Mus musculus: one gene and its partner. The protein of the gene in region 1 interacts with the protein of each later gene in a pairwise test. Links are inferred from orthologs where the notes say so. Each region holds a gene or a part of one and is shown on either strand. Other genes may lie near its edges.

Region 1 (3,653 bases):
GGTGAGAGCACTTTTAACAGAAGACAGTGATGGGGAAGAGGATGGAGAGGGAGGGAGGGAGGGAGGTATGTGAAGAGAAAAGGGAGACCACTGAACAAGTTGCACTCCTGGAAGGCTGTTTCTCTTCATGCCCTTCCATCTTAGCACCCACTAAGGACATATTCTCAATGCCCGCCGAACCCAACGAGATCTGGCCCAGGAGAGCAGAAGCTGCCGGGCCCTGAGTTAGGGATTGGGGAGATGCCCGTGACAGCTCGTGAGTCATCAGAAATGGAAGAGTGGACACTGAGAGTGGCCTGCCTGCCTTTGCATCACTGAGTATAAGCCTCTTACACCCTGTCGCTGCACACTGGGCATTCAACGTTGGCTCCTCTGGCTGTATACTATAATCACCTGTGTAAACGCCTCATGCCCTCCCCCAACCAGGACAATTTCTCTAAAAGTCTCTGCTAGAGGAATCTAGGCATCAAGGTTTTGCAGCCTCCACAGGTTTTCAGTGTGCAGCCAAGTGGTCGGCAGAGCTAATGCTGGGTTGGTTTTTGGAAACAAGGTCTTTGTGTGTAATAGAGACTGGCCTTCAACTCTCTATCTTCCTGAGTATGGGAATGACAGCATATACCATCATACCTGACAAGTTAATCGCAGTGACATGTTGGAAGTTTATTCTTGTGTCTTGCCCTCTGAGCTGGGATCTATCACTGAAATAGAACAGAAGCACCGTGAGTCAGTGCCTTCCCCCAAGCTCGCTGTGCAGCTTGGATGAGCCAGGTGTGGCTGCCACTAGGGTGTGTTAGTATAGTAGTTAATTTTACTTCATGCCTGCTTCATTTCCCTTCTTTTCCTCCTTCTCCTTTACTATGTATGAGCCCTTACTATGGTGCCCAGTGTAAGGCAGTCTCCTTAGCCCCTGAGTCCTGTCAGATGGGAGGAAGCCATGAAAACTAAGTGTTCTGCATGGTAGGGAATCTATGAAAAAGGCATGTGTTAGGAGCCACAGCAAGGGTGGAGGGGTGTCAGTCCCCGGACTCCATTCCTCTGTTCTACCCTCTTCACTTCTGTCCCCCAAGAACATCACAGGCTGATGACTAAGCCTTAGGGTGGGCACTTACCCAAACAATCTCAGTACATTTACTTTGCATATATTCACACACACATATGCGCATATACATACTATATATATTATATGTATATATACATATTATATATATACAGAGAGAGCATATATAGAGAGATATACACACATGCATGCATATATAGTTTCCATAGCTCTGCTGTCTACTGACTGAAAACTCCTCTCTTTGTTGTGTCATCTTTATGTCCCGACTCTATCCTTTCCCATGCCTATATCTTAGCCACGCAGACCATTTTGTTAGTTCAAACCACAAAGTTTGTTTTAATTTTTCCACCAGGTTTCAAAGAGTGAGTCTAGTGTTGTCTTGATGTTCCACGTGTCGGTTAAGACATACTCTGGTACTGTAATGATGAATGAAGCTGTGTCTCCCTCCAGGTTGTGAAGCTGTGTCGGGAGTGCCTGGAGAAGCAGGAGCCAGTGTTCGCCGACACCAACCTCTACGTGCTTCGGCTGCTCAGCATTGCATCAGAGGTCCTCTCCTACCTCCAGGCCTATGAGGAGGCCTCACATTATGCCAGGAGGATGGTTGATGGCTACATGTAAGTGATGGTCCTGAGTCTCAGGTAGTCTCCCGGACATCCTCTGTTCCAGGGATGCCAAAGAGATGGCACACATTTGACTGTTCCTCTTATACCCACAAACGGCATCAGCCACAGGCCATGGTCATGGTCAGGCTTCTCCTTACAAATGAACCTTTTTATCATGTTGTTCCAAGTAATAATGATCAAATAATGATGTCGGACCTGGTCCTCAGGTGAAACCTAGTTGTCATCTCTGGTTTATTTGTGTACACATTCCTTACTTGTCACTTGAGCCATGTCTTTTACCTTTGATTTTCCTAAAAGAAGCTTGATTTTAAGTGCTTGGAAAGTTTTTTTTTTTCCCTTTAATAACCTATGACCAATCTGTAACTCATAGGTCTTGGCCTTTGGCACTTATCCAAACCATAGCAATGTATTTACACTTTGTATATCTTTATATGAGTATACATGTGATATATATATATATATATATATATATATATATATATGTATGTATATGTGTGTACATATGTGTGTATGTATATATATAAATAAAACATGTGCATAAGTTTCCGCAGCTCTACTATGATGAGAGAGGCCATTCTTGCTTATAAATTATAATATGTTGCTTTCTTATTCCCTTCCACCAATGTTCTCTCTTACTGTTTATGTTCATATTATCATAGAAATTTGTGTTTCTGGTCAGATGAGTAAGTTGTCATGAGAAGGCTTTTCTTTAGAGGATGCTGCTCATTAAAAATGCAGGTAAACTGTAAGCATGCTAGGAAGGAGCCCTGCTAGGAGAAGAAATGAGTGCAGCCCCAGGTGCCACAGACAATCTGGGTCCCTGGTCTGTGAAGAACGGGATTTCTTAGGCAGATGGACAAAGAGTTTGGATGAAAATGACAGACAGATACACGAAAGATGTGTTGAATCTGAATGTAATGTTCTGGTTGAGCTTCAGACTTATATAACAACGAATTATCAGAGGATACAAATCACAAAAAGACAAGATACACTGAAATTCACCAGTTACAGCAGAAAGGAATTTACAGGGACTAATTAAATGTTTACATTAGGGATAACAAGCCCTGCCTAGGATCAGCCTAATGCCAGGCAAGAATTTCACACTTTAAGGTTAAAAGCATCAGGGGGTTGTTAACTCTTGACAGGCCTTAAGAGTAATGCGCTATCACAGAGCTCTAAATTCTTAGGTCTAGTAAAACTTATCTTGTCTGGAGAGTTTCCCCTTATCAGGGTAGTATATCAACTTATACTTGACATGGAAGTAGCCTGTAGTAAAAGATTTCTATCTCAGTGAGACTTTTAGTCTCTATCTGTAAACAGCTGAGTAAAATGGCAAGTGCTTAATTGTTTACTGAATGGGTTAAGCTCCTTGCTGCTATCTGGAATCTAAGAACACTGGAAAAGGGCTTTAGCTATGTTAGAATACAATCTTAAAAGGCATTTACTATAAGGTAAAGCTATATAGAGTGCACGTGGATCCATACACTAGACTAATGTGGGTTTGGAAAATTAATTTTATGGGTTAGGGAAATAGCCAAAGATCCAGGAGTAAGTTTCCTTGAAACTTTTTCCTCATGAGAAAGCTTTCAGACTTTCATCTGTCAAGCTGACTCCACCGGAGTCCCTGGCACCCAGGAAGGACATTAAAGTTACATTTTCCACCTTGAGCTTTTTTTCATGTCCCCCAGAGAACTGGGGGTGCTCCAGATGGTACCTGCCTCTCTATGCTCAGGCTCAGAGTACACCTGTGACCCTCTTTGTCTATGAAGCACTGACTCGATGGTTCAGATCAGATTCCCAAGTCTCCTGACCTCACTGTGTAGAACATTAGCCAGCTCTATGCATTTCAATATCTTATGACAAGCTGCTGGTGCCTAATAGCAGTAGTGGGACGACTAGATGGACTTTATCTGTAAGAGTACTGGCTTTGATATCATTTCTGTCTACTGTGACAGAGTACCCCGAGAGAAACA
Region 2 (3,653 bases), on another chromosome or scaffold:
CTCTTTCTTCAGGTCCATTTAAGAAACTGTCAAACCAGGAAAATACCGTATCAGCATATTAAATGCTTTATCATCAGTCAATAAGAGTAATTTTGAGAAAGTTCAAAAAGCCGTGAAAACTGGGTAGCTGCCTGAAAACTGATGAGGAAATGATACCTTCTATAGGGTACCTGAGACCGCTCTCCTTGGGGAATCACATTTGAATGTCCAGAATATAGATTGTGAAACTCCAGATGTGCTCAAACAGCAGCCTGCCATGCTGTCTAAGGCCCAGGCCGAGTGACATTTCCATGCTGCGGTGCGGATTCTGGTCTGTGAAGCTCCTGGTTCTCCTTTGTGTACTTTGGTTCCTAGACTCTTGAGAGTATCTAGCGTGCAGTGAACTGCCATGGGCAGTTCTTCTATAGTAGGCCCCAGGCATGCTTAAAAAATGCCTGAAATTGTTAATTTTAACATCCTCAACTAGATAACGAACCTAAAGGTGATGCAGATGCTTCACTACGCTGTTCTCGCTGGCTCATTTCACAGTGTATCTCAAGACTTCATTCATCTTGTCTTTTAAAACCTAAGACCAAGCTTGGAGGAGATGCAGGTTTTATAAGTCAAAACACTTATAATTTGGGGGTCTCTACTTTGAGCTGAACTTATGTTCTGGATGGAAAGTTACACACTGTAGTTTAGAGCAAACCTTTATAAGTGAGAAACATTAATATTTGAGTTTCATTCATTGTCTGATTGTCTGCCTCTTATTTTACTGCTCTATTCAGAAGGCCAAGCACAAGGTTATTCAGAGAAGCTTCGTGTCAGACTGCAGATCAGGGTGGGGAACATGATTCGTATCAGTTGACAAATGAAACGCTTCAAATATTAGAAACTTCAGAGGTATCTTATGGGTTCTTCGTCCATACTAGGAGTGATAAAAATGCATTCATGGCCACAGAAATGATAGCAAGAACCACTGAACAGTTGGTTTTTTTTTTTTTCTTTTTGACGCACAGTTCAAATTTATTTATTTATTTTTTAAATTTTAACACTAAACGTTGAGCCCCTAGAGCCTCCTGAATGCTGTGGAGTACTGTATCTCATTTAATCCTCAGACGAACCAGTGTAATTATCCTGTGCCACAGATGAAGAAACTGAGGATCAGGGTTGTTAAGTAATTTCCTTCTTCCTCTAGAGGAACTGGAGTCAGGAGTCCAGTTGAGTCTTCTTAAAAAGCAAGAGAATGTTTCAGAAAGTCAAATACTGATAAACATATCCTAAAACACAAAAATACTGCTTCTTTGAATCTGAGGAGGTCCTTAAAAGAAATATGTAATTCAGAGTAATGCAGAGATCCTGATACCTGTGACCTGCAGAGAATGAGGAGACCCAGCAAGATAGCTTTCTGTTCTTCACTGATGATGAAATATGAGAAATGCAATCAATTTGGGCTCAGTTGTATGGAAAAAATAGGCTGTATTATGGAGATCAAATGAAACTTTGATAATCTTTGCACATGATTACACGAATTCTAAAAGTCATTTTCATGAAACTTAATGATTATACCATTGGGCAATACAGATAATGCCAAATACTATGTTAAACTTATTTCCCAAATACATACTATTGTTACTCAAGAGAGCTGTATGCTTGTTAAAATTTTAGATTTATATTTCATTTAATTTTACCAAACTGTAAAATTTAAAACTAGGATATATTCTTTTACCTCCACACTTTTAAAATTTTATTTAATTATATTTTTTTACATTTATATATGTGTATGGGTGTGGGTGTCCATGCCATAGCACATAGATAGAGGTCAAAAGACATCTTGCAGTTGTCTCTCACCTACCATGTGCGGTGGAACTCAGGTCGTCAGGGCTGATGACAAGTGCCTTTACTTGCTGAGCCATCTTGTTGGCACATACTGCTACACCTTTTAAAATACAGATGTACAACTTAGTTTTTTTTCTTTGTTTTCCTGCTTCTTAGACAACATGCCTTTTGAAAGTTATATATGCTTCAGTGTAGATGACACATCCACCTTTATTTTCTTTTATGGGCACAGTGAGAAACATGGTATTTTGAGCCTTAAATTAGTTGTGATGTTTCACGTGTATAATTGCAGCATTTAGGAGGCTGAAGCAGGAGGGTCTTCGGGAATTCTTGGCCTGCCTGGGCTCTAGAGTAAGGCCCTGTCTTAGTAAAAGAACAAAACAAAATAAAAATTTAAAACTACATTGTTTTAAGTTCCTACTGACATTCTTGAGCCATGAGTGCTTTACTGAGCGTCGTTTAGGCAGAAGAGTCCATACTTAAGAAAATCAGGGTTCTGTTTTATCCATTTTAGATTTTAAAGTTTAAATTGGCTGTCCTTAGGTCATTGGCAGACATATTGGTCTCCTGTGGTATCTGTTAGTGGTTTTAAAATAGTTTCCATGGCTACTCTTTGAGTTTGAATTCATCCTTCCCTTTCTCCTATTAGAAGAAAAGATGTGGAGTGGGCTGTTACCTCCTGGACTAAATGAAAGTGATGTTGAATCAGATTCTGAGGATGAAATCAAACTAGAGAACCCAGAACCTTCAGAACATAATTTACAGGAAGATGGAAAGACTGGCAGCAGTACGAAGCCAGCAGTGTCAGACTTCCCGACAGGCCAGCCAGAGACGGAGACAGAGGCTGATGCGGATGCATATGAGAAGTGTCCTTCTGGGATTCCCTTAAACATATGGAATGTAGGTTTCCCTTTGTGTGGTTAGGAAAGTATGCATGTTCATGTGTTCTCTGTGCTGTGGGCAAAGTATGTTGGGATATAACAGACAGTAGAGGGGCCTCAGAACAGATTCTACTGTTGGATACTAGTTTTATTTTACATAAGTAGAAGTAGTAAAACCTTCATAGGATTATCTACTTCATAGGATTATCTACCTAACATGATAAAGGAGTTTATTTCTTTATTTCTTCCTTTAATTATATGAGTTATTGAGCTTCATTCTCCACTATCAAACAGCTTATATCAAAACCAGTGAATGCCCCAATTCAGCTGAGAGTTGTGAGGACTAAAGTATTTCAAGAACAGAATTCCTTAGTTGGTGGCTTTAGAAATGGCAGAGCATAAGGATTTCTATTTAACATGTCTGTTCCTTTTTAAACTGTATGTTTATCTTCAGTCACACACACACACACACACATCTTTTCTCCTTTTACATAGAAATTTCAAGAATTGCATAAAAAAAATTCTGAACAGAAAAATTCAACGCCAAGATTCAGACAGAAAAAAAGAAAACGCTCCAAAAAAGGTGTTTATTTTTAAATTTAGATTGTTAGTTATGCTAACTCTTAAGTTGATTAATTGAATTAATTTCTTAAAACATGATTTTGAAATAATAGCTGCATAATTAAGTATTGACACTCTAAATTTCTTTTAGGCAAATTGAAGAATGAAAAGGAATCTCACAGGTAGGTAGATTTTAAAGTAGTTACTATTCAGCAGTGTTGTGGGATTTTCTAGATTGCTGCACTACTTACCTTTGGTAATGATCAGACATGAGAAGTAGTCATTGAAGTGTAATTATTGCAACCAGTTAAAAATAGACAAAGTAAAAAGAGCCATAATTTATGTACATAGAGTTAATTTATCTTCTTGCAGTGAGCAGTCCTCAAATGAGAC

The links. The genes of interacting proteins can lie anywhere in the genome.
Region 2: the proteins of Smyd1 (region 1) and Fam204a interact in binary tests that used the Homo sapiens proteins (3 or more experiments, as listed by UniProt). The link is inferred for Mus musculus from reciprocal best matches to the Homo sapiens genes SMYD1 and FAM204A.

What each region holds. Positions count from the first base shown.
Region 1 is NC_000072.6:71,217,276-71,220,928, reverse strand, and holds part of Smyd1 (histone-lysine N-methyltransferase Smyd1), read left to right. Parts: coding exon 1-1; intron 2-1,507; coding exon 1,508-1,671; intron 1,672-3,653. UniProt on the Homo sapiens protein: Methylates histone H3 at 'Lys-4' (H3K4me), seems able to perform both mono-, di-, and trimethylation. Acts as a transcriptional repressor. Essential for cardiomyocyte differentiation and cardiac morphogenesis.
Region 2 is NC_000085.6:60,220,119-60,223,771, reverse strand, and holds part of Fam204a (protein FAM204A), read left to right. Parts: intron 1-2,467; 5' UTR 2,468-2,475; coding exon 2,476-2,718; intron 2,719-3,194; coding exon 3,195-3,282; intron 3,283-3,411; coding exon 3,412-3,442; intron 3,443-3,632; coding exon 3,633-3,653.